4 linked regions of the Lonchura striata genome follow. The protein of the gene in region 3 binds, or shares a complex with, the protein of the main gene of each other region. Links are inferred from orthologs where the notes say so. Each region holds a gene or a part of one and is shown on either strand. Other genes may lie near its edges.

The links.
Region 1: the proteins of GNAO1 (region 3) and P2RY2 are in contact, whole or in part, in a cryo-EM structure (PDB 9K20), measured with the Homo sapiens proteins. The link is inferred for Lonchura striata from reciprocal best matches to the Homo sapiens genes GNAO1 and P2RY2. Residues at the interface, in NP_066268.1 of Homo sapiens: Ala31, Lys32, Asp33, Val34, Leu195, Gln305, Glu309, Glu318, Ile319, Tyr320, Cys321, His322, Met323, Val334, Phe336, Thr340, Asp341, Ile343, Ile344, Asn347, Leu348, Gly350, Cys351, Gly352, Leu353, Tyr354; in NP_002555.4 of Homo sapiens: Asn66, Ser68, His130, Arg131, Gly134, Val135, Pro138, Leu139, Leu142, Arg143, Met221, Arg224, Leu225, Ala229, Tyr230, Gly231, Thr232, Ser233, Pro237, Ala239, Lys240, Lys242, Ser243, Arg245, Thr246, Leu308.
Region 2: the proteins of GNAO1 (region 3) and regulator of G-protein signaling 16 are in contact, whole or in part, in a crystal structure (PDB 3C7K), measured with the Mus musculus proteins. The link is inferred for Lonchura striata from reciprocal best matches to the Homo sapiens genes GNAO1 and RGS16. Residues at the interface, in NP_034438.1 of Mus musculus: Glu64, Asp65, Gln68, Ser75, Arg86, Thr117, Val180, Lys181, Thr182, Thr183, Gly184, Ile185, Val186, Gln205, Arg206, Ser207, Glu208, Lys210, Lys211, His214, His236, Glu237, Asp238, Glu239; in NP_035397.2 of Mus musculus: Glu85, Phe86, Ser87, Glu89, Asn90, Glu124, Ala125, Pro126, Glu128, Val129, Asn130, Asp132, His133, Glu134, Leu161, Lys164, Asp165, Ser166, Arg169, Lys172.
Region 4: the proteins of GNAO1 (region 3) and C3AR1 are in contact, whole or in part, in a cryo-EM structure (PDB 8I95), measured with the Homo sapiens proteins. The link is inferred for Lonchura striata from reciprocal best matches to the Homo sapiens genes GNAO1 and C3AR1. Residues at the interface, in NP_066268.1 of Homo sapiens: Ile28, Ala31, Lys32, Asp33, Val34, Asn194, Leu195, Ser264, Asn316, Glu318, Tyr320, Asp341, Ile342, Ile343, Ile344, Ala345, Asn347, Leu348, Arg349, Gly350, Cys351, Gly352, Leu353, Tyr354; in NP_001313404.1 of Homo sapiens: Asn57, Asp119, Arg120, Val123, Val124, Pro127, Ile128, Gln131, Asn132, Arg134, Asn135, Tyr356, Ile359, Arg362, Gly366, Arg367, Phe368, Ser371, Lys374, Thr375, Val378, Leu438.

Annotation. Positions count from the first base shown.
Region 1 is NC_134604.1:18,219,343-18,227,126, reverse strand, and holds the start of P2RY2 (P2Y purinoceptor 2), read right to left. Parts: upstream 3,077-7,784; 5' UTR 2,898-3,076; intron 1-2,897. UniProt on the Homo sapiens protein: Receptor for ATP and UTP coupled to G-proteins that activate a phosphatidylinositol-calcium second messenger system. The affinity range is UTP = ATP > ATP-gamma-S >> 2-methylthio-ATP = ADP.
Region 2 is NC_134611.1:1,692,764-1,700,097, reverse strand, and holds the start of regulator of G-protein signaling 16, read right to left. Parts: upstream 3,030-7,334; 5' UTR 2,941-3,029; coding exon 2,861-2,940; intron 1,302-2,860; coding exon 1,200-1,301; intron 1,019-1,199; exon of another isoform or gene 777-1,018; coding exon of another isoform or gene 706-776; intron 573-705; coding exon 511-572; intron 1-510. UniProt on the Homo sapiens protein: Regulates G protein-coupled receptor signaling cascades. Inhibits signal transduction by increasing the GTPase activity of G protein alpha subunits, thereby driving them into their inactive GDP-bound form.
Region 3 is NC_134615.1:15,386,076-15,393,555, reverse strand, and holds the start of GNAO1 (guanine nucleotide-binding protein G(o) subunit alpha), read right to left. Parts: upstream 3,072-7,480; 5' UTR 2,949-3,071; coding exon 2,831-2,948; intron 2,752-2,830; coding exon 2,709-2,751; intron 1-2,708. UniProt on the Homo sapiens protein: Guanine nucleotide-binding proteins (G proteins) function as transducers downstream of G protein-coupled receptors (GPCRs) in numerous signaling cascades.
Region 4 is NC_134604.1:31,235,424-31,242,629, reverse strand, and holds the start of C3AR1 (C3a anaphylatoxin chemotactic receptor), read right to left. Parts: upstream 3,111-7,206; 5' UTR 3,025-3,110; intron 1-3,024. Other genes in the region: NECAP1 (adaptin ear-binding coat-associated protein 1), read left to right, coding at 5,817-5,914.

The sequences.
Region 1 (7,784 bases), on a different chromosome or scaffold from region 3:
ATGACCTGGAATCGTTTTTCACTGCTCTCAGTTGTGGTTCCAACCCTTGGTGACCAAAAGCAAACAGGCAAGGTGCTGGGATGCTCCGGAGCCGTGAGACCCGGCCAAAATCTGAGCCTGCCCAAAATGCCTGCTTTTCATCTGCCCTTTCCCTTTGGATCCTTTTTGCCATGGTGACCTTCAGAGCCTTTCTCCTCCAGGCTGGCCCCCGCCACCAGTGTGGGCTGAGGACCTCTCCAGCTCCCAGCTCCATCACCCCCAGCACTTCTCCCCAGCAATCCCAAGGCAAGACACCTCCAAAAGTCATTTCCAGGATAGCTAAGCAGCTTTAAAGGGCTTTATCCATCTCCCTTCCAGGCAACATCCCTCCCTGTTGGGTGTGATCTACCCCTTCCTCCATCCACAAAATAGCCAGAACACCTCATTTAAACCAAAACTTCACAAAGAATCTGTTTCTGTCCCTACAAAAAAGCACCTTTTCACTCCAGAAATGCCTCAGTTTCCCCTCCTGTCACCAGGCTGAGAAAACAGCAGAGCTGAATTTGTTTTCTCCATGAAAAATATTTTTCTGGGGGTGTTTTGGTTTCCTAGAGGGTTTTTTGGTAACTTGATCCAAGCTAAAAAGAGACAGAAAATTTGGAGAAAAGATATTGCAAGTTTAAAAGAACTTTATGACTTTGTTTGGAGGTCAATAAAATGTTTTGCTTTGAGAGAAATCACTTCTTCTGGGAAGTTTTGGTTTTCCCCAAGAAACATCCCTGAATCAATCTCCCTTACAGCTTTTGCTTCCCAGGGGGTACCAAAACCTCCTGCCTTGCTCCATACCATGGGAAATCAATCGGGATTAAGCAAATCTGTGGCTTTAAAGTAAATTAAGAAAGCATTAAAAGCATTGGTGACAACGGTTGAACCTGACTCAATTCCCAGCATGGCAAGGCTCTGGGGATGGATCCTTCTGGAAGCAAACATCAACCCTGGCCAATATTTAATCCCTTCATCAATACTTCCCTTCATGCTTCAGAAAAGGGAGTGCTCCCTGCCTGTTTTTCCCTGCTGCAGGATTGGGGCAAATCCCATTTGACCCCTCAAGCTTCCAGTTTTAATTATTCCATAGGGGAAACTGAGCACCTGCATCCTTTAGGCTTCCTGGAGGTACAAAGGTGGTGTTTCTGTCAGGAGTTTGACTTTGCTTTTGCCCTGAATGACCTTTTGATGATTCCTTTGGAAGAAGCAACAGTCAGGGAGAAGAGTGTAGGACCAGTTTCTGGCTGATTTGGTAACCCTACAAGCTCCGTGTCTGGCAGAAAGGACATTTTCATGGACACCTCCCAGCCTCCTGCCCACACCAAGGGAGTCACAACCACCCTGGAAAAACCAAAGGCACTCTGGGGGACAACCAGGATAACACAATTACCGGGCTCCACCATGGCCCCACCAGAAAACCCTGCAGGGGTGGACTTTGGGGGATAAATTTTTGCTCCTCAGGCAGTTTCCCATGGAGGCAATAGGGTCTTTGCTCATGGGTGGTTCCCAATCAGGTTTTACTGGGGGCTGCTCAGCACTGAGGAGGGAGCCCGGCGTGGCCGGCAGCACGCTCGGCTGCCAGAGAACTATTCGTGGCTTTGGCTTCGTGTCAACAACCCGAGATAAAAATCGCACTGGGCAGAGACAGGATAAAGTCACTCAGTGCCAGACTGTCAGAAATCCTTCTGGGGCTTTTATAACCCTCTAAGCCCTGGGATGTGGCTGTGCTTTGGGGCTCAGCGTGTTTTGGGGTCTCTCCCTTTGCACTGGAGCCCCTGAACCTATCAGCCACCCTTTGCCTGAGGGAAAACAAGAGGAATTTGGCGGTAATGAAATGGCCTAATTTTGGCAGCAGCAACCATGAGCTAAGGCCACCATCCCCCAGTGTTGGTGGCCCCCAGAACCGGGTTTGCTGATCCTCACCTCGTGTACAGGAAGGCAGTGGGTTGCCAAATGGCTTTTGCAATAAACTGATAAGAAAACTGGAGCAGAAAGAGAAATGAGATATTTTGCCCCTAAAGTCGTTCCTGCAGTGATGTCAGCCAGTGCCCAGCTCTGGGAAGAGGGGTGTTTTGGAGGTCAGGAGCTGCTAGAAGGAGTCAAAAAGTTTGAAATGAGAGTATCACCATTGCAGTGTAAATTAAAACACTCCCAAAGAAATTACATAGGGAGCCCAGCATGGAAAGAGGTGGAAAAACACGCAGAGCAAAGCAGGGAGTCAGTTCCATGGTTTAACCTGAGCTGTGTACAAGAAATCATGGACAAACAGCCAGTGAATTCCACAGGGAACGGAGAAACTGAGCAGCAAAGGTATAATTGTGAATTCATACATTAAAAAATCCAATAGAGGAGCAGAAGAAGCAAGAGGCTTCCCTGAGTGTCCGGTTTGAACCATTTGTGCCAGCACCTACACCCTGCTACCTGCTGGTCCCACTGCCTTGTCTTGGGGCACTTGGGGACTTTTGGGCACTTTTAGCGGCAGCACGGGCAGTATGTGGGCTTGAGAGGAGGGGAGCAGCAGAGTCGGGCTGCGGCTCTGTCCGTGCAGCGCCGCACTCCCTGCTCTGGAACCCTGTGCCAGCCGTGCCACCCAGACAGCAACAAGTGCCGCCACCACCGCGAGTACGTGCAAGTGTGTGTGTGTGACATGCGGGTGTTTGTGTCCCACACATGAGTGCGTGTCCCCTTCACCCCGTGCGTGTCGCTTCTCCCCCATCTGCGTGTCCCCACTCCCACCCCGTGCACGAGTTTCCCACTCGACCCTGGAGGTCGCCGCCTGTCCTTCCTTGTAGTGGGCAGGACACGCACCCCCACATCCCCCCAAATCCTCCCGCGGTCCCCCCACGGTCCCCGCCCGCTGCGGCCGCGCTCACCGGGCGATGCCGAGCCAGGGGCTCCGTGCCGGGGGCTCAGCGCCGATCGCCGCGCTCAGGAGGAAGGCGGAGGCCGTGCCATGCCCGGCTTTGGTCCTTGGCCCGGCCCGGTGCCGGTGCCGGTGCCGGTGCCGCCGCGTGTGAGCCGGGACGGGGCGGGCGCGGGGCTGCACCGCCCTCCCGGCGCTGGGAACGGCGCTGGGACGGGGCAGGACCGCGGCCAGAGCTGCCCCGCCCGGCCCGGGACCGCCCCTTCCCCCGGGGACGGGACAGGAGCTCTCCTCCCTGGATGGGAGCGTGCGTGGGATCCGCGCTGGGGCCACGACAGGCGTCCGACCGCCCCCTCTCCTTCCCCTCCGGGATGGCGCTATGGATGGGATCGGGATTAGGGATAGAGCAGGAGCCCTCACTCCCTCCCCCGGAGATGGGAGTATGGATGAAATTGGGGCTGGGATCGGGGCCGTTCACCGACCTCTCTCCCCTTTCTCCCCCGGGAATGAGACCGGGATTAGGGCTGGGACAGGAGACACTCCCCACCCGCCAGAAATGGGGCATGGATGGCATCAGAATTGGGACTGACATTGGAAACGGACGATTGCTCCCCGAGTCTTCCCCCGGGGAGGGGGCGAGAGTTAGGACAAGGACAGGACCTCTCTGCCCTGGGAGTGGGATCATGGATGGGATTGGAGCTGGGACTGAGACTGGACTCACTTCCACGGGTGCTAGGATTGGGTGTGATGCCAGGACTGGGATGTTGGGACTTCTCATCATTGCTGGAACCAGAAGACATGGCAGAAGGTTTGCTCGAGGTTTGCTCCTTGCTGTATCCTCTTTGACCTGCTGTCCCCACAGAGCCCTACATGACACATCCTCCCAGGAAGCTGCAGGAAGCTGTGGAGGACCAGCACCACCTTCACATCTTGCCCTCTCCTGCAGGTGGCTGCTGCCCAAGGGAAGCAGTGGCCAGGTCCAACCCAGCCCTCCTCATTGACCAGATCTGGGGTGCCGGAGGAACAGGCACAGCCCCACAGGACCACGTGCAGGTGGCCCCGCTGTTTTCTGCCGCCGGTGCTCCCCTGAGTGTTCCCCATCTGTGTCCCTGGGTGACAGCCAGATCCTTCTTCCCCAGCTGGATCTGATTTCATGTGGGGGTCCTTGAGCCCCCTGGCTGTGGCTGGGGGGGGGCCATGAAGCCCCCGATGGAGGTGGGGAAGGACACCAATGGCATCTATTATTCAGCAGCAGAAACTGGTAGCTGGCTAAGGAGGCATTAAGAGGATATGAACTCATGGCATGGACATAGTGCTGCAGAGATCTTGCTCATGGACCTCCATGCCAGAAAAGAGCAAAAAAAATAAATTCCTGTTTCCTTCTTCTGATGTAATTTGTTTGAGGAGGGAAAACAATACATCACATCGCAGCTATTTGGGGCTGATAAGGGAGGAAGGACAGGCTTGCTGCTTGCCCAGAAGGAGGGAGATGCCTGCACAGAGCTGATGAGTGAGGCTCAGCTGGGTGAAGCTGCCCAGCAGTGACCTGGGTGCTGAGTCCAGCCCATTACTCCTGGATTTGGAAACACTTAATGGGCAAAGTTTGGGTTCACCCAACCACAGCACCTTGGTTTCACCCTCCAAATCTTTCACCCTCCCAAGGAGGGATGATGTCCATAGGTGATGGATGATGTCCAGGGAGTTGATGCTGTCCTTGCAGGAGCTGTGACCCGTGGTGTGATCACTGCTGCTCAATAGCCCCTGCCTGGCGCCATCTCCCCCAGCCTGGTCCTCGAAGGCCTGAACACCTGCAGCTCTTCCTCTCAAGATGAAGCCAAACAGCTCAAAAACAAAAGGCAGGCGCCTTCCTCATCTCCAGTGGTGATTAATTATGGCCAGGCCAGCTGCAAGGCCTGCTTGGCAGCTCGGTGCTTCAGCAGGACAGAGGAGATGTTTTTCCAAAAGCTGCTTTGGAGCAGGGAAGTGTCCCCTGGAGAGCCCTCTTCCCAGCAGACCTTTCCTGAGCCTGGTTGAAGTCCCAGCAGCTTCCAGCAAGCAGGACCTACCCAGCTTCACTGCCCACTGCATGGAAAAACATTTCCTTTCCCTTCTTTTGCTTTTTCTCCTCTCTTTTGGGCTTGAGGAAGATGGAAGGAGGGCGTCAACCCTAACCCATCTTACTCATTTCTGTCCTTCATGCACCTATCACCTAGAGCACCCAAAACCAGAGCCCCCTCACTCCCAGTCTCCATTTCCCAGCTTCACGGCAGCTCAAGGAAGAGGCAGATGTTTTAAATTGTGTTGAAAAGCAAATGATTTGTGCAGCTGCAGCACAGACAGAGGCAATACCCAGAGAGCCGACCTGGAAAGCAGCCCCACGTTTCCCTTCGCGGCTTCATTTTTCAACTGTTTTGGCAGCCCGGCAGGTTTCTAAGACACTTTCAAAACATTCCCATGTTGACTAGCATGCAGGAATGTGATACAGGAATGGGTGGACCGGGAAGGTCAGGCTGGCCACAGCAAAGCCTGCGCTGCACCCATGGGTGCAGCTCAAACATGCAGGGAGACACCAGCAGAAGTGATGGAGACAGGCTGTCATACATCAAATACTTTTTTCCCCCTTTTATTTTGTTTTTAAAGCCTTAGGTGCAGCAAGGAAGACAGTTTGGGTGTGTTGGGCTGAGCCTCCAGCCCTGCCCTGTGTGACTGGGCTTGCAGGAGGGACATCCCATGGGAGCAGATGTGACTTTGCAGTTTCTCAGGCTGCCTGAATTCTCTGTCCAGGATGTTCTTATTCAAGACCACCAACAACTTTCAAGGGGCAGCAAAAGCCAATGTAGCTGGAGAAAGAAACCTCTGTTCACAGTGCCCTTGGGATGCACTGGAGATGAGGTCAGGTGGGGCTGGAGAGAGATGTGGAAGCACCTTCCCAGCAGCCAAATAGGGTGGGTTGGTTGGAGGTGGGAGCTGGGGCTGTAAAACCAGCCCCAGAGTCATGGAATTAGTAGGGTTGGAAAAGCCCTTTAAGATCACAGAGTCCAGTTGTTAACCCAGCACTGCTGTGTTCCCCGCTAAACCACATCCCCAAGTTCCACCTCCACCACTCTGCCACTTCCCTGTTCCAATGCCTGATCACCCTTTCAGTCAAGAAACCTCTCTGAATATCCAATCTAACCTCCCCAGTGTAACCTGAGGCCATTTCCTCAGGTCTGTAGCTGGAGCCAGTCCCTCTGGCCATCCCTCATCCACACATGCTCTGGAGGAATCTCCTGCTGCCCTCTCTAAGGCTGCAGCACCCAGGAGACGCTGCTGGGCACAGAGAGACACTTTCCTCCCCTTTCCACCCTTTTCCCACTAATCCCTTGAACAGGAACTGACAGATGGGCGCAGACAAGGTACAGGGAGCTGTCTGTAGCTGGTGCTCTGTGCGGAACAGGGAATTTGGGCAGACCTGAAGCACATGGAGCTCTCTGGGGCAAGCAGCTGCAGACAGCGAGTCTTGAGCACATTGCTCAGTGCAGGGAGGGCTTTGCTCTGTGGCTGTGCCCATCTGGGTGGGGATTTTCTCTTCTCCACCAACGGTTGGGGATTTTTTTTTTTTTTTACCCCAGCTTTCGTTTCCTCCCCACTGAGCACATGTGATGTCTCTCCCCTCCTCCTCCTCACCATCAGAAGGGTGATGGAGGTGCCACTCACTTTTCCTCCCAGCTCCTGTGTAACCCAGGTGTTTTGGAGGGGTTTTCAGACTCCAAGTGCATTTTCCCCCCTCAGGATGATGCTTGCAAAGAGGGGTAGGAGTGCTGCCACAACCTCCCAGGCAGCAGGAGCTGCCTGCTGGGCCCTAAAACACAAGCATCCTGTTGTGGCCAAAAGTGTTTATGCTTGTAGGAAGACCATAAATAAATAAAACATCTCACACCAGGGGAGGTGTGTTAAAATTAACCCATAGGCTTGGGCTGTGTGTGCTGTGGGTTCCCAGATATGGTTCTGCTCTGCAGCCTGTCCAGGAGGGAGCAGGGGATCACATAAAGTCAAAAAATTCATCTCTGGAAGTTCATCTCTGCTTCTGCTGCCCCCATTGATGGCTTTCTTAGGAGCACAGATGCTGAGTTTTCTGCCAGATTTCATGACACTTCCACTTCCTCTGGGATTGCCTAGAAAATAGTAAATAAGAGAGATTAAAAAAAAAAAAAGCCAACAAACCCATTCAAGGTCTTATTCAAAACAGTTTAAGCAAGTAGCAGCAGCAGGAGCTGCTGGAAGAAATGTCCTGGAGGACAGAACTTGTTGCTGGATGAGGTTTTGCATTGATCTGGCATTCCATAACACAAGTAAACACATGCCCTCAAAACAAGTCCTCCTAAAACCAGCAGCAGCAACCCATCCACGTAATGGTCCCAGCCTAAAATAGTGTTGGGGTTCCTAAGAAAGGCTTCTTCCTCCTCATTTCTCTATTTGCAGAGCTGCTGAGGAGCTGTGCAGGAGTGGCCCCAGCTGTGCCTGGACCTCTGGCAGCAGCTTGGTGGGATTCAGTGGGTGTGGGCAGCTGGATTGTGGTTCCAGTCACCCCCAAATTTTGTGGGGTTACAGCTTGGCTGACCCACCAGCAGCTCAGCCTTGGGGTCAAACACAGCCTGGCACCACGATGGATTTAGCTCCAGCTGGAGATTGGTTCAAGGGGTGGAGTGGCAGGGCCCCCATAGCATCCCATGCTCCCATTTTTCACCTGATCCTCATGAAATCCACAGCAAAGAAAAGCCACAGAAAGACTCAGGAGAAAGTTTCCATTGGTGCTGGAGAAAAAGCCATTTTCCAGTAGTTTTGTTGGCCATTATTTTTGCTCTCAGCTCTCAGCAGTGAGACTATGGAGACCAGCACAGGATCCCACCCTGGAACC
Region 2 (7,334 bases), on a different chromosome or scaffold from region 3:
ATCGCAGACACACAGCTGATTCCAGAGTAGGGAAAGGGCAAGGTTATCCAGTCAAACTGCTGAATTCCTGCACCTGTGGAAGAGCCATCCCCGGAGGCACAGGACAGACAGACAGGGCAGCAATGCAGTTGTCTGAACAAGCCTGAGGGGAGGTGCCTGCATGGCTGTTTCCACCAGACACCGAGAGCAGACACTGCCTCTCCCCATTGTGGAGAATGGGGTGCTTTGGGAATACCACGATGTTTCCCCTCCTGTGACAGCAAGCAGCAAGACAACACTTCTGCCCCCCCAAAAAAACCCAGCCAGGAGGAAAGGGCACAGCTTCATGGGGCAGGCAATGAGCCCCGTGCCTCAGATCTGGGCAGGAAAGGGACTCTTTCTAGGTCCTATAACACCTCATTTGAGCAGGAGGTGAGATTTCATCTTACAGTGACTCCAGGCATACAGCTCACTATGAGTATATTTGTCCTACACACTCTCACCAAGAGAAGAAAACAAGATGCTACTCACTTTTGCTCTTGAGGAGCTGGTCAAAGGACTCCCTCCATTCCAGCACCTCTCGGGAGGAGTCTCTGGAAAAGACAAAAAGGATGTGAGGCTCACTGTCCAGCAGTGAGGGCTGGGAGCACTTCAGCTGTGCAGCTCCATCACCGGGAGACAGCAGCATTCAGCAGGAGACCAAAGCCAGGGGCCGATATCCATTACCTGTGGGCTCTCTTTCCTCTCTCTTCCCTTTCTTTCACCTTCCCTGATGGCTCACCCGACCTCATCTCCATGCTGCTCTAGGGGATGCTCAGAAGAGCCTTTTCCTGCTGGCCCAGCAGAGCCTCCCCTGCAGAAGACCCCCTGCCCTCAGCAGCAATATTTAGTGTTCCGTGTTTAATGCTGCCTGTATTCCCCGGGGATCCCAGCCGCTGGTGTGAGACACCAGGAAGTGCAGGAGCCCTGCGGGTTCCTTGCCTCTTGCCAAGGAACTTGCCTCTAGCTCTCTGTGCCTAATGCCAGAGCATCCGCTCCCCCGGCGGGTTTTATAGGCGCCAGAGCAGGGAAGCGATCCGCCTTCCCGGCCCGCCGGGGTGGGACCGCGCGGAGGGGAGCTGAGCTCCGCGCTGCGCAGCCGGCTGCAGCATCCTCGCCAAGGGCTGCTCCGTGGGGGCTCGGCCCGGGCTGCGGCCGGGGCAGAGCTTGGCTTGGCTTACCTGCGCCTAGAGCCCAGCTGCAGCTTGCCGGAGCTGCCCGCCTTGTGTCCCAGCTCGGCTTTATGAAGCAGGATGCCCAAGCGGCTCTTCAGATCCTTGGCTCTGGAAGGGAGGAAGGGAGAGAGGGAGGGGTGAGATGGGATCTCCGGACCATCGGTCTGCTGCCTCCGCCGGCAGGGGCTGCACCCCACGGGCTCGGGGGGTCAGCCCTCGCTCCCTAGCTCCAGCCACGTCTTTGCTCCCTGGTGTGTGAAATAAATGCTCCCCCATTGCTTTTCCTGCTCCCTGGCAACCGCGCATTAAGCCTGGGGGACCGGTTTCTCCTACTCGCTTCCCAGGCAGACACATGGAATACAAAGCACGACGAGCTCTTTTCTCTGGGGCAGGTAAAAGCTGCTGAGTGCCCAGCTGGAGCCCCCCCAGCTCCCCGGAGCTGGTTCCTTTTCCCACCCCGCTCTCCCCCAGTGCTCCCAAACCGCTGGAAAAACACAGCGGTTTCTTTCCTCCCGGCACAGCGGGAGCATCTCCTGCTGCTGCCAGGCTGCTGCTCCCCTGCTCTCTTTTTCGGGGTGCCCTTGGGCCCCCAGGAGCCTTTCACCAGGCCATGGAGAGGGCAGCGCTCCGCAGCGGCGCCATCCACCTACCCCATGGCTTTAGGAGGCAGGGGCAGCACGGATGCTCCTGTGCCAGAGGCTGGGATTCTCCTGTGCCAGGGGCTGGGATGCTCCTGTGCCAAAGGCAGCGATTCTCCTGTGCCAGGGGCTGGGATTCTCCTGTGCCAGGGGCTGGGGTGTTCCTGTGCCAGAGGCTGGGATGCTCCTATGCCAGAGGCTGGGATGCTCCTGTGCCAGGGGCTGGGATGCTCCTGTGCCAAAGGCAGGGATGCTCCTGTGCCAGGGGCTGGGATTCTCCTGTGCCAGAGGCTGGGATGCTCCTGTGCCAGAGGCTGGGATGCTCCTGTGCCAGGGGCTGGGATTCTCCTGTGCCAGAGGCTGGGATGCTCCTGTGCCAGAGGCTGGGGTGCTCCTGTGCCAGAGCTGGGATGCTCCTGTGCCAGGGGCTGGGATGCTCCTGTGCCAAAAGCTGGGATGCTCCTGTGCCAGAGGCTGGGATGCTCCTGTGCCAGAGGCTGGGATGCTCCTGTGCCAGAGGCTGGAGTGCTCCTGACTGTCCCCGCGGCTCCGCGGAGGAGGCACCTCCCTGCCGGGAGGAGAAGCGGCTCCTGCCTGTCCCCAGGGTGTCCCCGAGGCTGCGTGTGGCCCAGCTGCTATTTGCGTGCCCGCGGCTCGTTCAGGCGTCCCAAGGCGCCCGTACAAAAAGAAGGGTTTAAATGTCAAGCCGGCAGCGTGGGGCTTCGCGGGAGGAGCAACATGTCACTTAAAGAGTTCGGCCGTGCTGACAAAAATACTCCTGCAAGTTGTGCAGAGGCAGAGCCAGAAAAACCTGGTGTGTTTGTACAGCCCTGTCCAGCCTCCTCTCCCTCCGCTTGTTTCACCTCCGCGTTCCCCTCCTGCGGAGCAGAAGGGATGCAGCCACAACAAATGACTTGGCTGCGTGTTTTCTGCACCCCGGGTTCTACCCTACCATCACATCGGCAGCAGCAGAGGCCGGTCCGGGCGCGTCTCTTCCAGCGACCCCTCTGCCTCCCAGAAGCGCCTTACCTTTCCAGGCAAGTGATGGGGAGCGCGGCTAAGCCCCGGCACATGCTGAGAGCTGGGCACCCAGGCATCCAGCAACTCATCGGCTCCTCCCGGGGCTGGCAGGGGGTGCGACAGGAGGGCTGCGACACCAGCCGCCCCGCGGACCCGTGCTGGCGGCTGCGACGGCGGCGCGGAGCCGCGCTTTATATCGGGTGGGAGGCGGGAGAGCGGGGAGGGGGACCGGCATCACTCCAGCCTCCAGCCAACCAAGAGCTGCTCAGGCAGCGCCCGTGAAGAGGAGAGCTTAGGTAAGTTGGTGTGTGCTGCTAAGCGAGGGGGGAGTGGGAGGCCCAGGCTCGTCCTTGAGCATCACAGTCATAGCCGCTTCCCCGGGAACAGGAAAAAACAGGCTCGTGTCCAGCGACGTGTGGAGCCTGCTGATTAACCGGCGGGTGGGAGAGCGAGGGACAGGACAGACGCCGAGAGTCGTCAGCTCCATCCTCTGCTCCATCCCCTGCTCCATCCACTGCTCCATCCCCTGCTCCATCCACTGCTCCATCCCCTGCCCCATCCCCTGCTCCATCCTCTGCTCCATCCCTGCCTCCATCCCCTGCCCCATCCCCTGCCCCATCCCACTGATCCATCCCGCTGATCCATCCCCTGCTCCATCCCCTGCCCCATCCCCTGCCCCATCCCACTGCTCCATCCCCTGCCCCATCCCCTGCTCCATCCTCTGCTCCATCCCTGCCTCCATCCCCTGCCCCATCCCCTGCTCCATCTCCTGCTCCATCCCCTGCTCCATCCCCTGCTCCATCCTCTGCTCCATCCCTGCCTCCATCCCCTGCCCCATCCCCTGCTCCATCTCCTGCTCCATCCCCTGCTCCATCCTCTGCCCCATCCCCTGCTCCATCCCCTGCCCCATCCCCTGCCCCATCCCCTGCCCCATCCCCTGCCCCATCCCCTGCCCCATCCCGCTGCTCCATCTCCTGCTCCATCCCACTGATCCATCCCGCTGATCCATCCCCTGCTCCATCCCCTGCTCCATCCCTGCTCCATCCCTGCTCCATCCCCTGCTCCATCCTCTGCTCCATCCCGCTGCCCCAGGGCTTCCAAACCTCCCCGCACTTCCCCAGTGGTGGCAGCCCCCAGCGGGGTCAGGAGGGTTTGTGCTTCCTGGGGGGATACAGATGGAGCAGGAGGGTTTAATGTTTCCACTTCCCTCTTAATGGCACTGCCCGTTCACAGCTGGAATATATAAGGACAATGTGCTGGCTGAAGTTGCACTTCTTTGACACAAATCCCCTGCTGGGTGTGTGGTGAGAGGAGGGAGGGGAAGGGATGCACATCAAAAGAGCCAAAACCCGGGAAAGGATCTGATAATGGAGGATCCTGATGAAACCTGAAAATTGAAAGGAGATTAAAAGCCAGGGAGAGTTTGGAAACTGGAGGTGAAGGACTGAGCCAGCAAAAGAGAAAGATGAAGAGAAAGGGTTAAACCAGCACACACCAGCGAGCCCCAGGGTCTGGAGCTACAAGAACCAGAGGTCACTGAGAACCAACAGGCCCCGTGGTGAGCTCAGGCTCACAGGATCCCAGAGCTGCCCTCCCTGCAATTCCCAGCTCAGTGGCTCTGGAAGGGAGTGACCTTAACCCCCCTGCTCATGGCCAGCCAAGCACAAGGCCACAGCTGCCACTTCCACTCCTCATCCTCTCCCTTCCTCCCTGCTATTCCCAGCTCAGACATTTTTCCAGAGCTCAAGTTGTCTCCTACCCTTGCTGCCTGCATTCATCACACACAGCACATTGCCAGAGCATCTTTCCCAGGAGAGATGAACTGTGCCAGGAGAGTGGCAGCACAAAGTCATCTGGGCAGGAGAAAGGCTCCTCTCAAGCTGCCTTTGGGAGCAGGGGCATGAGGATATCTGGGTGGGAGACTGAGAGGGGCATGAGGCACCTCAGCCCCACCGAGCAGTAGAGTCCTGTCTTTCTCTCATCACTTACAAGAAGCCACAGAATGGTCTTGCTCATGGACAGACAGGAAGGATGCATCAGGACTAATGACTGAACACACACTTTTAGCTCCTCATGTAAGAGCAGCCTCTTTCCTGATGGCTCTGGGGATTTTCACTTGAATAATCATGTTTAAGCCTTCTTGGTTAGCAGATATTCAGCTACAAATAAATGGCTGGAGCTACACAAAGCTCTAATTCAAGTCTTCTCTGTGCCTTAAAACAAAAATTAGAGCTGTGATCTTTGCTGTGGATTTCAGGGAAGAAATAGAAGACTTGAGGAGAGAGGGCTGGAAGGTTGCCTTTGCCTGTACAGCTGCTGAGAGTGTCTGTGCACACCCAAGAATGTCTGTGCACACCCAAAAATGTCTGTGCACACCCAAAAATGTCTGTGCACACCCACAGCGTGTGTGCTTGGCATCACTTTTGGAAGTGCCACACCAGCCTGGAGCTCCACCCCAGCTCAGCACCACGCTGGGAGCACTGGGGTCACAGCAGCAGTGGCACCTGGGGGTGGGCACAGGCTGCTGGCACCCACACTCAACTGTTGCACAGAGTCAGGGCTGGAAAGGAGATCTGGAGATCATGCCAAAGCAGCTTGGCACTCACCTCCCTGCTGCAGCAGGTGACCAGAGGCTTTAGGGAGGCAATGCCCCTTCTCCTCATCCCCTACATCTACATCTCCTCGCTGGTTTTTCCACACAAATTCTGTGGAAATGTTCACCTCTGTCTCTTTCCCCTCTAGCACTGCAGCCCATCCTTGCAGCCGCAGATCTGCGAAGGCACAGGGTGCTCTGGTAACTCTCCCTGGTGTTGGAGGCACGCTCTGAGCAGGTCATACCAGGAGGAAAACCTCCAGGAGCCTGGCCACGTGTGGCAGGCACACGGGACAGATGATTCCTGGCTGCAACTCAGAGCCTGGCACAGCCACCGTGCTGGGAACCACGTGCTGCCTGGAGCAGCCAGGCAAATTAACTATGGCAAAAACACAGCTGGGATGGCAGCAACTGGGGGGTGTGAGCCAGAGCAGAGAAACTGTGCACATCTCTGCCCTGAGGCTGCAGCCTGCTGAGCCCCTCTCTTTGCTCCAGGCCCTGCTTCCCTGCTGCTTTTCCCCAGAGAAATGAAGTGCATTGGACAAGCGTGTGTGCGTGTGGTTTTACCTTGTCCCCTGTGGCAGCTTTTGAAGCTCTGGGCTCAGGTGAGGCCAAGCTGACAGTGAAGCAGAGCTGAGGAACTGCCCGTGGTGAGAGAACAACCCCAGGGAAGGCGTCAGTCAAAGGCTGTGGTTTTTTGGGGACCACAGCAGCTCAGCCAGAAGAGGCACAAAGGTGTTTGCCACAGAGCTGGCTCTGGGACACATAGAGTGCCAAATCTATGTGTGCAGGTCTGAGCCCAGGCACAGGAGTGGGATTGGGCTGTTCCAGCAATTTCCTCCTCACCAGGGCTGGGACAGGCCCTGTGGCCGCTGTGCCACAGCCACCAGCTGAGCCCTCTGCTCCCTGGGGCAGCTTTTCTGCCTGTCCCCTCCGATGGGGCTGCTCCAGGACAGGCAGCTGGGCAGCATGGGCTGCTCTAGGTGAGATATTTCATCTTGCACAGCTCTTCCCAGGGTTATGCAATAGCCTCCGAGCCCAGCCCGGCGTGTGTACTCAGATGTCTTCATGCTGCTCTGTATCTGATTGAATTACGTGCTTCCTGTCTCATTTAGCTTAGCAGCCTCCCGCGGCTCCGGCCCTGTGCCCTCCTTTATCAGCCCTTGTTTTGGAATACAAAAACCTCATCCGTGTCGCAATGCCCAGAGCCGTGCCACAGCCCTGCCAGCGCCAGCCCACCTCCCGGCCATCAGGATGGTCTCACCTCCATCCCAAAGCTCCTGGCAGCCCAGGCAGGTGCTGTGCTGCCTTCTGAGGCTGGGAGGTGGCTGGGCTGAGAAGGCACCCACAGCCACCCTCTGCCAGCTTTTGGGGGGCTACAGCCACTGGCTGGCTTCACCTTCATCAGCAGACACCCCCCCCCACACACACCCCCATCAGCCCCAGGGAGTGCTGTATTTGCAAAATGCCAGCAAAATTGGAAAACACAAAGTTTTCAGCCCCAAGCTACAGAAATGGGGTGGGGAATTGGTAAAACAAGGGTTTGGTGACATGGCTGGGCTAAGGCACCCACAGCCACCCTTTGCCAGCTTTTGGGGGGCTACAGCCACTGGCTGGCTTCACCCTCAGCAGCAAAATACACACACCCCATCAGCCCAGGGATTGCTGCTGCTGTTTCTGGGTTATTTGCAAAATGCCAGCACCTTTGGAAAACACAGAACCAAAGGTCTCAGCCCCAGAAATGGGGTGGGGAATGGGGAAACAAGGGTTTGGTGACAGGGTGCAAAGTGCCCTTGTGTATGTGCCCAGTGCACAGCTCTGAGGAGAGCTCCTGGCAGGAGTATTTTTGTGGTTTTATATTGTTCCAGTGGAATAAGGGGAAGATGCAGC
Region 3 (7,480 bases):
GAATTACATTTACAAATCCTTATCTACATCCTGGCTACACTCTCAAATTACTGTAATTTCTACTTCTGCTCCTGCTATCTAACATTTCAAGGATTAACTGGGCAGTGTGTAACCTCTTCTATTCCTATGTAACAATGTCTGCTCTCTGTTCCTTTGTCTTAACATTCCCCAATCTGTCTATAGATTCCTGTGCTTGTTTTCAAGGCAATATCCAAGTGTAAAGCTGCTTCAGCCATTCATGAGGATGAGATTTATTATCTAGAAGCACACCAATAATACAGTATTAAAAAAAAAATAGCACTCTTTCATCAAAATCTAATGAACATGCGATTTAATCTTTATTAAGAATTCATTAGGTTCTCAGCAAGGCTGTCTAATGGAGCTTGACCAGGTGAAATGCTAATGCCTACATTATATTTGAATTAATTTTTAGCAATGTTGGTTTCCCCTCGTTGTTCCCCGCACATCGCTCTCCCTGGCGCCCGCGGCTGCGCGGTTCTCTCCAGATGCTGCTGCCGTGCTCATAGCAACACCGCTGTCCCCACCCCAGCCTCCACACACTTCACTGGAGTTTCCACACTCACAGATGCCTCCCCATTTCCCACACTAGAAGCCCATCCACCATAGCAGCTTCCTTGACGTTTTCATATTAGGTACAAAGCTGCAAGCCTAGCATGCCTTACTTTGAGTAGTTGTAATGAAATGCATGTATATATATACATATATATACATATATATATATATACATCCACAAAACGGGTATAATTCAGTCCTCAATATACCAATCTAGTCCAACAAACAGGTTATTATCTTGATATGATTTGCTTCAAAAAACAAGAGCTCTGCTCTTTGGAAAACAAGATTGTAGGCTTTTTGTGTAGCCAGTGTGGTCACTGCCTGCCCTCCTGCCTATGGGCTCTACATGTGCATTGTGCTGTTGTAGTTCCCACAGCCTCTCCCTTTAACCAAAACCCATCACCTGCCATTCCAGCATGCTTCTGCAGAAGCAATTCCTAGAGATTAAATTATTTATTGGTGTTCATCTGCAGCGACATGTCTCCTCATCCACGTTCTGCACACAAACAAGAGCAAATCAAACCTACCCCACCCCAGATCCAAATCGAACTATGGGGGAAAAGCCCTCTTTCAAACAGTAAAAGGAGACAATGAGAGCCTCTACAGAAGTAGGGTACACAAACGTCAGTGGGGAAAGCCACGGATACCACTGTGCACTGGAGGCAAATCTCCTCACAGTGAGACCTCCCAGCCCCGCAGCGCCTTGGGAAAAGCATTGCCTCAGGCGGGGATGATGGTTTCATTGAACCCCCGAGGGGTGGGCACAGCGGCCACGGAGTTGATACAGAAATATCCAGGTCACCCGCTAAGCCACCCTGCCTGGAGAGGAGCTGGGCTGAAGGCCCAGATCTGCCCCAGTGGTGCACGCACATGCACGCGCACATGCACACCCACATTCACACACACACGCGCACACTCTCACTCTCTCACACACAGGCACACACTCACACACACGCATTCACACACACGCTCACACACACACGCACAGGCGGGGCGGCTACGGGAGCTCAGGGCTGCAGCTTGCGAGGGGCACGGGCCGCTTTGCTGGTTCGGGGGCCCCTTTGGCTTCTCCGCGGCCCCTCCGGAGGCAGCGGAGCGCGGTGCCGAGGGGCCCCGCGGGCGCTGTCCAGCTCCAGCCGCTGAACGCCGCGCCGGGACCCGCCCGTCGGCCCGCGCGGCCCCGGAGCCCCGCGCCGGGACCCGCACCCCGCTCCCCGCGCCCCATCCACACCCATCTCTCAGCCTCTTCCCCTCGCTAAGCAATCCCGGTCCCGGGAGGGGGGGCCCTCCCAGCCACAGATCTCTCCGCAACCACCAGCATCGCAAAGCGGCAACCGCTCCCAGCTGAAATCCAGACCCTGAACCAGCGCCCAGGCTCGTTCCGTGATGGCGCCCGCCTCCAACCAGCCCGTCATGTTTGTAGCGGTGGGAGGACGGGATATTTAATTGTATTTTAATTTTTGAAAAAAAAAAAAAATGGATGGGGGGAGAATAGTCGCACCACGAGTGTACCTCCACCTCCATCAGCCTTCTCCGCACCTGCTTTCCTACGGGGTGCATTTACACGAGCCACGGGGATGCTTGTAAGGGACCGTGCGGTGGGGCTTTTCACTGTTGTTTATTACACGGTTATATCTAATTAAACACAGAAAAAGGGTGTGGGAAGCCCCAGCGAGGAGCAGCGCCGAGTACCACAGGGAGACTCGGATCCCAGAGCAGAAGAGATTTGAATGAGTGGCCAAGCTCGTCGTTCATTAATTAAAAGAAGAAGGTACAAGCTCGATAAAAGGGGCTTTCAGCGACAGAGAGCCTTGGTTTCAATCCGCAGAGCCGGCAGATAACACCCCGACATTAAGCAGAAGTGACAGCGGTTGGCTGCACGGGGACATCTGCGCCGAGGGGGAAGGTGGGCTGCCGGCCTCCCCGCACCGCCGCCGGGGGCGAGGCCGCGGGGCGCCGCTTCAGCACCAGCGGGCCCTGGACAGCGCCGGGCGCGGCGGCGGCCCCGCCGCGCTGCCTGCGCGGTCCCCTCAGGTAAACATGGCGCCCGCGGCCCTCGCTCACCTCCGCGAGCCCCCGCCCCGCTCTCCCGCCCCGCACCGCCGCTCGCTCGCTCCCCCCGCGGGACTTACTTCATTTGCTTCACGATGGTGCTTTTCCCCGACTCTCCGGCTCCTGTTGGAAGAGAGATGAGGTGGGATAAGCGCGGGGAAAGAGGAGGAGGGGGGCGATGGGGGGACCGGCGGGTTCTCACCGAGCAGGAGTAGTTTCACGTCTTTGGCCGCGCTGATCCCGTCCTCCTTCAGGTTCTTCTCGATGGCCTTGCTCCGCTCCAGGGCGGCTCTTTCCTCAGCACTCAGGGTACATCCCATGGCGGCGATGAAAATTAAAAAAAAAAAAAAATTAAAAAAAAAAAAGGGGGGGGAGGGGGGATGCAGCCCCCGCCGCCTCGGCTGGCTCCCGCGGACAGAGAGGAGGCGGCGGCCGGGGGGCAATAAAAGAATTAAAGCAAATGGCCGTGAGGCTCCGGGTAGCGCAGCGCCTCCGCGGCGGGGCTCCCGGCTCCCTCTTGCCCCTCTCTCCCCGCGCCCGAGCGCTCAGTGCATCCAGCGGGGCTGCAGCGGGCACGGCGAGCTCTTCCCGGCCGGGAGGCGGAGGCGGAGGCGGGGGAGGAGGTGGAGGAGAAGGAGGAGGAAGCGGGTTGGCGGCGGGGGAGGGCGCGTCCCTCTCCCGTGCTCCCGACTGTCGCTGTCCCCTCCTCGGCGGGCGGCGGCGGAGCCGAATGGAGGCGCGGGAGCGGCGGCGGGCGGGCGGCAGGAGGGAGCGCGGGGGCGCGCCGGGCTGCGCGCTCCCGCCGGCCTCGCCCGTGACGCGCGCGGCTCGCGCATGCTCGGGCCCGCCCCGCCCGGGCCCGCGGGCAGCGGCCGCCCGCTCTGCACGGGCGGGGGCGCGGCCCCGGTGCCCGGCCCCTCGCCCCGGGCTCCCGCGCCTTTCCCCGGGAGGGACGCTCCGCGGCTTGGGCTGCTGCCCCCCGGCCCGGTGACTCCGAGCTGGGGTCTGCCTAGGTGGAGGGTCTAAAGGGGAAGCCATACGAGGAGCGGCCGAGGGCACTTGGAGAGGAGATTGAGGGCAGAGCTCATCGTGGGCTGCAGCTTCCTCGGGAGGGGCCGTGCAGGGGCAGCACCGATCTCTTCTTGCTGTGACAGGAGCCGAGGGAGCGGCTGGAGTCATGCCGGGGGGGGAATTAGGTTGGATATTAGGGAAAGGTTCTTACCCAGAGCGAGCTTGAGCACTGGAACTCCCCAGGGCAGTGATCACAGCACTAAGCCTGACGGATTTCAAGAAGCCTCAAGGCTCTCAGGTGGAACTCTTGGGAATGTCCTGCTCTAGGACATCATCAGCCCCTGTTCAGGTAGGGCTAGGAGTTGGACTCGGTGATCCTTGCAGGTCTCTTGTGTCTCAGGCCATCCCACAGTTCTGTGGTCTGGCCCGGCAGCGCAGAGCTGAGTGCTTGGGGATGTGACAGCGGTGTGTGTACGGGGGCACTGGGCTCCCCTGGGCACTGCCCCGGCCACTGTGGGAACCCTGGCTCCCCACGTGCCCTGAGCATCCCCCACAGCTCCTGCACCCACACCCTGTGCCTGCCCCCACCCCACAGTGCTGTGTTTGTGACCTGACCTGCAAGGAGCCCTTTGGGAGCTCCTCACGGCTCAGGCAATGTGAACACTTGCAATGTGAATCGTTTACATGCTCCATGCAAAGCATCAGGTTTCACCACCATGTTGGATTATGTTTTCCATCAGTGTAATTAACGGAAGGTTTGGGTTTTTTGTGTTGCAGTGTGGTCACAGACCTCAGCAGATGACCTGCCTTCTTTTCATATCTATTCCATGACATCTAACAGTGATTTAAGAATTCTAGTGAATTAAAGTCCCACCATTTTCCTGGCAGGTTTTGCCATTTCACAAGGATGGAAAAGAGAGAAGAAAACAACTGTCGACAAGGAAAATAAAATAAATAGAACTTTGTTTAAAATGCTTTCCTACAGGCCCAGACAAGTTAAAATATACTCAACTTTAATCCATAACATTGATTGATATGTGACAATCTAGCTATAAAAAGATATAGAGAGGAAAGAAGTGTTGAGCACAGCAAGGTAAAATGCATCAAACTAAAATTAAGATAATCAAGGTTTGCTACCTGATCCATGGAAAGGACACCCACCATTTCAGTACACAAGAAATCTGCAAAGGGAGGTGTGGTTGTTCAGTAGATGTGAATGCTGAGGCTGCTGATTTTGCCCCCAAAAGCCACTCCACCTCTCTGCCAAAAAGCACCCAGCTACAGGAGGCTTGACAGGAACATCGCTGTGCTGTGGGAAGGAAATGCAGGGCTGCCCCACAGGCCTCGGGGAAGGCAGGGGGCTGCTGTTTGTGCTGTTGGGTGTGGGTGACCATGTCCTTACACTGTGTGCGTTTTCCACTTGGGACCTGATCGCTGCCTCCTCTGTGAGCATCTCACCTGCTGTCCTGAGTTCACCAGATCCCATATCCAGGACTATTTCCTTAGGGGTAGAAATGTAATTTCTAATAGCACTTAGAGTATTCTAAGCATGAAGTCACAGGCACTTTCCTTCCAGGCAACCATCATCTCCTCCCAGTGCTGTTTCCCATTTCTTCTTCCTCACAGAACATGCTCTTCCCATTTTCCCTCCTGACCTCTGAAACAAAAGGGAAAAACAGGATGTGGGTAACGAGGTAAAGAGGGGGTATGAAAGAAAAGCAGATAAAAGAAAGCAAAAGGTAATTTAGTGTATTCTACTATACATTTGTGAGCTAATAGGTACAATATATTTGAATTTTGGGTAATTTATTTCTGGAAGCTCAGGGAACTGAGATGGACAAGCAAACCTACAGCATGTCTTCAGCAGGGAATAAATGGAGATGGGTGTGGTTACAGAGCAGTTCCTGCTCTTTCATATTCGCACAAATCTCATGTGTAAAATCAATGGGATCAGAATTTCAATCAATAAGTTTCATTTCAATGGTTCTAGCTAGAGGGAATTACAAAAAGTCCTGTATAGAAAAAACACAACGAAGAAATCCAGAGGCAGCGTCCTCATGAGATAGCTGCATTTTCTTCCCATTTCCTCCAGCAGCTTGCCAGCCTTGGTCTCATATTGGGAAACTCTCCAAGGGTTTTACTAAGAGAATTAGTCTTTTATATCAGCCTCCGGCTACTCGTTATCTGACAAATTTGTAGCCTGGGTCTCCTGCCATGGAGAAAATTATTTCTCTTCTTCTTGACCAGTGTGGAGTCTGCAGTCATCCCTTTGTCCCATGATCATCCCCATTGCTACACAATAATCTGCTAATTTCTTTCTTAAGGGAAAATCAGAAATTGGCAAGTCTTCTCCTTGCTCTCTCAGCTCTCAGAAAAATTCAGGGGAGCAGCTGTGAAATTGAGCCATTTCTAAGCCACTTTTTTTCCTGCTGCTAACTGAGCAGAGCTGGTGGAAATGTTTCTTTCAAAATTTTCTTAGAGGGAAATTTAATTTTTTTAAAAAATCTGCTTATTCATGGCAGATGAATTTCAAGAACATGAAAGAAAAAAGGTTGCCTCCTCCACCAAACAAAATGCATTCCAGCCTACTTGGCTTTTGAGATAAATATATTGGGTTTTGTTGCTGAAAAAGATGTTTCCATTTTTCAGGAGCTGACAGGACTCCTCTTTTAATAAAAAGTGGTTGCTGGTAGTAACAACTTCAAATGAAAATAGGCTTCTTTTTTTCCCCCTTTGAAAATGAGAGAACCTCTCCATTAAAGGTGGAGAGGAGGCACTTTCTTTCTGGCTATCCCTGCAATTAAAGTATTTCATCAAGATACATAAAGAACTCGCTTGTTTCTGCTCAGACTGCTCTCTCCCAAACTTAAGAGTCAGCAGTGTATTTTAAGCAAAAGTCTTTATTCTCTTGTATCTGATCTGTGCCTCACCAAACCCAGCTTCTTTCTGCAACCAGTTTTCAAACATTGTGCTAGGAAAGTTAATCAGATAGTCATTTCTTTAAGAAGTGAAGGATGGTAACAGAACTGATGGATGCCATTGAAAAAGACTGTGCCAAAGTGGTAATGTGGGGTAGATGACAACTTTATGATCTCATGTGTGTTGTTTTATCCTGGCTGCTTCCAGACTGGGGAGGGATGAGCCTTCCAGAACACATCACCATCGTGGGCTCTGCTACCCAGCTCAAGGGTTTGTAGAGTGCTCTGCCTTTCTTCCTGGAATCACAGAACAGTTTGGGGTGGAAGGGACCTTTCAAAGGCATCTAGTCCAACCCCTCTGCAGTGAACAGGGAAAGATCCAACTGGGCCATGTTTCTCAGAGCCCTCCCCAGTCCTGCATTGAATGTTTCCAGGAATGGAGCATTCATCACCTCTCTGGGAACCTGCAGTGTTTCACCCCCCTCAAAATCAAACATTTCTTCCTTATATCTAATTTAAATCTACCCTCTTCTAGTGTAAAACATGACTTATTTTCTTATCACAACAGATCTTACTGAAATGTTTGTTCCCACAGCTTGCCAGGAGGTAGTAAAGAGGGGTGAGAAAACTGTTCCATGGGCCATGAGAAAGTCTCATAGCTACCACGACACTCCTACCACCACCACAGAGATTGCAATAGTATTGGAGGGAATACCACATAGGTTCCATCCCCATAATTAGTTGATATTGCAGGATCAGCACATCCTCAGAGAACTGGTGGATGGTATGAGGAGGGAGTGGGGCAAGCTCAGAATGATGTGACCATAGGAGGAAAGCTGCAAAGCTTTGCAGCTCATCTTTCACCTCCTACTTCAGGGTTGTTCTGTCCAATCTATAATCTTGTATTCCTTTGGTGTGGTTTT
Region 4 (7,206 bases), on a different chromosome or scaffold from region 3:
GCATGGCTACAAGCTCTTCAGAGTGATAGGAAAAGAGGTGGAGGGATGGCCCTTTATATTAGGGAGGATTTTGATGCTGTGGGTATTGAAACTAATGACCACAAAGTTGAATGCCTGCGGGTAAGAATTAGGGGGAAGGCCAACAATTGTGCTGGGGGTCTGTTATCATCCTCCCAGTCAGGAAGAAGAAGTTGACAGCTTATTCTATAAGTGGCTGGAGAATGTTTCAGGATCACCAGCCCTTGTTCTTGTAAGTGACTTCAACCTACCAGACATCTGCTGGAAGCTTAATACAGCAAAAAAGAGGCAGTCTAGGAAGTTCGTAGAGTGTGTGGAGGACAACTTTTTGTCACAGCTGATGAGTGAGCCCACCAGGGGAGGGACTATGTTAGACCTGCTGTTTGCAAATAGAGATGGGCTGGTGGGAGATGTGGTGGTTGGAGGCCGCCTGGGGCAGAGTGATCATGAAATTAGAGAGTTCTCAATATTTGGTGAAATGAGGAGGAACATCAATAAGACTCTTACACTGGACTTCTGGAGGGCAGACTTTGGTCTATTTAGGAGACTTATTAAGAGAGTTCCTTGAGAAGCAGCCCTTAAAAACAAAGGAGTCCAGCAAAGTACTGCAAAACAGAGATCTTGAGGGCACAAGAACAGACATCTTTTTGTCCCTGTGTGGCGAAAGATGAGTCAATTAGGCAAATGTACAGCCCGGATGGGCAACGAGGTTTTAAAGGAACTTAGGAATAAAAAGGAAGGTCATTCTTCCCCTGTACTTAGCACTAGTGAGGCTACACCTTAAGTGCTGTGTCCAGTTCTGGCCCCTCAGTTTGGGAAGGATGTTGAGACTCTTGAGCATGTCCAGAGGAAAGCAATGAGTCTGGTGAGGGGCCTGGAACACAAGTCCTACAAGGAACAACTGGGGGAGCTGGGGCTGTTTAGCCTGGAGAAAAGGAGACTCAGGGGTGACCTTATCACTCTCTACAACTGCCTGAAAGGTGGTTGTATTCAGGTGGAGGTCGCTCTCTTTCTCCAGGCAGCAACTGACAGAACAAGAGGACACAGGCTTAAGCTGCACCAAGGGAAACATAGGCTGGATATTAGGAATAGGTTTTTTAAAGAAAGAGTGAAAAAGTACTAGAATGGTCTACCCAGGGAGGTGGTGAAGTCACCACCCATGGATGTGTTCAAAAAAAGACTGGATTTAGCACTCGGTGCCATGGTTTAGTTGACGTGTTAGGGCATGGGTTGGACTCAGTCTTGAAGGTCTCTTCCAACCTAGTAATTCTGTGATCCTCTTCCCCAAATTCTTCTCTTAACCTTTGCTGAAGCATCTCTGAGTCAGGTGACAGTACAGAGCTGTCAGGATACAAAGGCATTGGCCTACACAAAATTGTTACTAGTGTACCTGTTGTACATCTTCATCATTTTCATAGTGGCTAAACCTGTATGTAAGCTTGCTGTTCAAACAGTGGGCTCTATGCAGTTATGTTCTCCTATCTGTGTCATCCCTTTGATTTCCATCTGGTTCTTCTTAGTCTCTAAAGTGAAGGTCTATTCACATGGCCATGATGTGCCCAGGTGTGTTTCCTGGTTGACTTCCTGCTTCAGAAAGGCAAACCAGCATTTTTAGTTCCTCTTTCCTTTAAAATTAGCAATTTCTTCTGGCATAACATTTAAGTTAAGAAAGCAATGCCTGTCTTTCTGAAATCACCCTGCTTCACTTTCTGAACATTACAAATAGAACAGAGAGGACATAACTTCTGTTGGCTAAGTGATATTTTAGGGAAGTGCCAGTGACCACTTCCTTTTCTTATACATGTGTTCTGAGCTCTCTGGTAGTTCCTTGGAAAGCTTATCTTGACCAGGAAAAAGACAATCTTAACGGTTTAAGATTCTATGAAAGATAAGAAATTAATGTTTAAGAAGAACAGACAGATATTTACTTGTAGAAATAAACATGAAAATACAGAGTAATGTTAGATATGAGGTGTCTTACTGCAAGACAATGAAGCTGACCTACAGCATACTTAAGTGATATTTTAAAACTATGACCACACAGAGGAAGAATGTTAATTGCTCAGTTATTCTTGGACTTAGTAAATTTAGAAAGGAAAAGAAAACCAGCAAAGCTAAGATAGAATTGAGAAAAAAAAACCCTGATTTTTATTCTTTAGGCATTAATAGAATTGTCTTAAAAATTCTTTTTAACTAAACCCTTGCTGAATTGATGACGGCAGTTGTATTACTGAAAGGTCCCAAAAAATGTTACCAAAATGCAAGGAAACTGAATAGGGAAGAGGTGAATACAGCCTGCAGAAGCAACTGAGAAGACATAAATAAGACAACTGACCCATTTTTAAGCTCTGTTATGCCCGTACTTAAATACCAGTCAGAGATTGTTGTATGCAGGACTAAATATAAATATTATTTTAAAAAATTCAAATAATCAATCTCACTCTTCAATAACATGCAGTCCGAAAGTGGAGTGATGCATAAGTGTGCATCACTGCTTCACTAAGAATAAAATGAGATAAACAAATGTAACAAACATCATAATTTATCAGGTTTTGGTAATGTCTGCCAAGAGACTTGTGAGTGAGGGTGACCTGCAAGGAAAGCTATGACAGACGTTACTGGAAAGCTTAATTGAAAGCTGGAGGCTTAATTTAAAATTCTCCCAAGTTTGTTCCATTTCCTGTGGTCTTGCTGATCTATGTAGAAGCAATTTTCAGAAGGACAACTGGCGAACAGTGCTGCAAGAGTTGAACCCTGCTGCCTCCCCATATAACTACAAAAAATGGTATGAAGAGGACAGGGAAACAAGAAATGCTGTAAAATAGTAATGTAAGTCCTACTCCAAAGTAAACTGCCCACACTATATTTTCCAGAGTGCTAAAAGGGCTGCAATATGGTTTGAAAATGAAAGGGACAACTGGAGGAAGGAGAGGGGTTTTCAGGAGTAAAGAATAATAAATGGCAAGTAGATGAGGAAAGCAAAATTCTCCAGTTTATGATACCTACCTGAGCGAAGCAGTGATTTCAGTGTGTTGGAGCAACTACCATCAATTCTGTCTCTGGAGTGACTGCGAAAACCCTCACATGACATTTTAGGAACTGCATTTTTTTTTCCTGTATGCATCCTGTGTTTGCCAAGTGTGTTCTTTCACCCTAATAAAATTACTCATTTCAATGTAATTTCAAGATTTAGATATGATCAGCTCATAAAATAAAAAGTCAAATCACAGGAATTTTCTCAAAACTCAAAATAAAATAGTTCTTGAAATAAAATATTAATAGAGTTATAATCACAGACATATACTTTACTATATTCTATAAGACAACTGAATGCCATCTTGCCTGTTGACACAGTGTGACCTTTGCTGGAAGTAATTCCTAAGTCCAAACCCTGTCATGTCATAGCCACTTCTATGTCTTACCAGGTGAGCACATTCACCTAGCTAATCTAATTTCTAGGGTTCTTACCAATCCAGATCAGCTTCTGTCCCAGCTTGAGACAGTTTGCTTCATCAAATACAGAACACTGTACTCACCAAACCGTTCTGCTTTTTACTTTTCAGGGTTTTAAAATTCTTGCTTTTAAAAAAGAAATTGACTGACAAAAAGTTAGAAGTGGTTAACTGAAATGGGCGATTTGCACAAAATGTGGCAAGACAATAAAAATGGAAGATTTCCAGGGCAAGGCATTTCTAATGTTTAACAAGGGGGTTCCCTCTTGCCCTTCACAATTTGGGAAATCAAGACTGCTAGCAGAAATGACAGAGCCCAGACATACAAGAATCAGCCTCAGTATTTTTGTTTTGGTCTGGAAAATGAACTGTGACAGAGCAGACTTCTTCTCTTGAGCGTGTCTGTTAAAGACACAGATGCTGCCTCCAACACAAAACCAGAAAAAGGAAGACAGACCAGGGCTGAGCTGTACCCACAAAGATAGACAGGCTGTCAGCAGCCTGCCAGGAAAATTCCTGTAGCTTCATCTTCTTCACAGCTGCTATCCTGCTAGGGGGACTCCTCGAGCCCAGACAGGCAGTGCTGATAGAAGCATAGCCTGGTCATCACCATGGGACCTGCTAGTCAAGCCCTGCTTTGCAGGAGGGTCCTTAACCAGTTCTATCATCCAAGTTAAATGTTCTATTTCAAGATTTCAACCTCTCTGCTGAATCCTTAAAAAGAAACAAACAAACAAACAAAAAGGTAAATAATATAAATAAAAATTTAAACTTCATTGGTTATTGGCAGTGCTTTGTATATTTTTGATCCAGAGATGCTTGTTTGAACCAAGCTGAAGAATGTTATGTTCTCTACTGCTTAAGTCTCAATGGAATTGAATGGGAGATACATTCCTGGTGTTCTGGTGGTGCTTGTGAGTCTTTGCTCACATGCCTTATAATAGTTGGCCCTTTGCCACTCCCTCATCCGAGATGCTCTCCTTCTAGGGGGACCGTAGGAGGACTGTGACACGCTGAATGACAGCACTGTGAAGAGGGAGGTGAAATTTAATACTGCTAATTGTGAATCACTGAACTTGGAAAAGCAGCTGCACATGGAGGATGTACTCCCAGTGAGACATTAGTGCTCAATGAAAAAACTTAGCAGTCACTGCAGGAGGTTCTAATGAAAAATTAGGTCAATAAGCAACTCTATCCAAAAGGTAAATTTAAGTTTCTTCTTGAATTGTGAATGCTGTACTGGTCCTTAATCTTAAGAAGTTATAGAACAAGAAAAAACATAGAGAATGGTGGCTAGACAGCCATGGCTGGGAATTAACTCTGCCTGCATTAACTAATGCTATTTCCCTACTGGGAAAACAAGCAAACAAACAAAACAACAACAAAAAAAGGAAAAAAAAAAAAAAAAAAAAAAACACCAAAAAGCCAAAACCAAAACAACCAACCCCAAAGCCAAGCCAAAACCCCCCAAACCAAAACAAAAATCAACAAAACCAACAAAAAACCCCACAAAAAAACCCAACCAAAAACCAAACAAAACAAAAAACCAAATCAAAACCTCAAACTTAGTGATGTTTTTGTGATTATTTTTGCCTCAACACCTCCAGGGATGATGACTCCACCACCCCCCTAGGCAGCCCGTTCCAATGCTTGACATGGAATGCTCAGACACGGCTCTATGTAATTTTAAAATTTCTCTTATGCCTTTTCTCACACTTTTCAGAGTAAACGCTGGTACTTTTTGACACTCAGTCACAAGACGCTGCACAGCACTGAACTTCAACACCAGTCTCCTCTGAGAAGCCACCATTAAAAGAGTGGTTTAAACGCTGCCAGCCTTATCATTACTGACAAATAAAACCGGTATCTGCACCCTTTTCGGGGGAAGACCCACTCCTGAAACTAAGCTTTGCACAGGTGCCGTTTCCATCACTTCCAGCAGCAAATTTCCGTGCTGTGCACCGCATTTCCTCTTTGGCTCTTTTACCACAAAGCCACCAAATCGCCGCAGCACAGGGGAGGGCGGCCGGACGGGCAGCTCGGTGCCGTGAGGGCTGCCCCTAACAAACATGGCCGCGCCAGCCCCGCCGCGACACCTGCCAGGCCCCAAGATGGCGCCGGCCGCCACTGCTGTGTCAGGGCCGGCTCCAAGATGGTGCCCTCCCGCCCCCGCTCCCCGCTGCCAACACCCAAGATGGCTTCCTCCGCTTCACCGACGTGGCCCGCGTCTGGCGCGACCGCGCTGGCGCCCCCAGGCGGTGTCTGCCCTCACCAAAGATGGCGGTGGGCAGCGCCGCTGGTCACTAGGCTCCCGCCGCTCGCTCCTCGCCGGGCTTCGCGGCCGACATGGCGGCGGCCGAGCTGGAGTACGAGTCCGTTCTCTGCGTGAAGCCCGATGTCAACGTCTACCGCATCCCGCCGCGCACCTCCAACCGCGGGTACAGGTGAGGGAGCGTCCGGCGCCCGCGATCGGCCCGGCTTGCCTCAGTCCCTGCCCGCAGGGCAGCCGGGGGCCGGGCAGTGCCATGCCGCGGCCCGGCCTCGTCCCTTGGGAACGCCGTGTCCTGTGGCCGCGAGCAGGTCTGGCCATCCCCCGAGCCCTCTCCCGCCGAGCTCGGGAGGAGCCGCCGCTGGAAGTGCCTGTGGCGGCAGGTGGTGAGCGCCTGGAGGCGGGGGAGCCTCCGCGCCGTGCTGTGGCAGCAGCGGCTGCTCTGTTACCGGGGGCAGGAGGCGAGGGCAGCGTGCTGCTCCGGGCAGGGCTGACGCCTGCTCCCGCTTTCTGGGTTCTCTGCCATGTGACACTGATGTGCGCCTTGGATTTGGCCTGGGGGCTCTCGCAGTGGTGGAGAGGGAAGCGGGGGGAATTCGGAGTGAGTTTTAAGAAGAGGCTGCAGAACCAGCAGTTACAAAGACCTCTGGTCAGCCAAAAGCAGCGGAGTGTGACTTTGTAAGATGTGCCCACAGGCCTGCTGGAGGAGTGGGTTTGTGAACTCCCTGAACCTGACAGACTGTAGGCGGATATTGTGCCTGGCTAAGGATGTTTGTTTCCAGTTATAAAATCCCGTAGATTTTACAGCACTAAGCCTGCCAGAGTTCAGGAAGTGTTTGGACAATGCTCTCAGGCACATGGTGTCATTTTGGGTGTCCTGTGCAGGGCCGGAAGCTGGATTCAGTGATCCTTCCAACTCAGAATATTCTGTGATGCTGTAGGTTGGGTTTTTTCTCTCTTTTTTTTTTTTTCCTTCACAAGAGCCTGTGGCAAAGAGTGTGACGGGTCAGTCAAAATATCTGTATGTGTGTTTTGACTGGTGTAAGTCAGCTGCCTCTAGGCTATGAAGTACTCAGCTGTGTTATTTTACAGCCATAGAGTGGAATAATGGAGTGTCTTTTCAGCATGTTACTAATTAATTTTTGGGGTCTTCTCAATGCTCACAAGTCACTTTTGTGGATTCCCTGTTGAAGTGAGTTTCTGTGCTTCTGTCTCCCCTCTTTGGTAAATGTACACAGATGAGGAGTTGATGTTCTCTGGTCTGTGTCTCTTTCCCTTTGCCCAGAGGTGCCAGTCAGAGTTGTGTCTCAGTTGGCAGCAGCAAGAGAGGAGCTGAGACCCCGTGTCTTATTTGGGGAGGGAAGTGGAATGAGGCAGCTGCAGGGGCTGAGGGTTTGGGGGGAGAGATTTCTACTGAGGTGGCTGGGCAGAATTGGAGAGGTTAACTCTGGTCAGTATTCAGCTGCT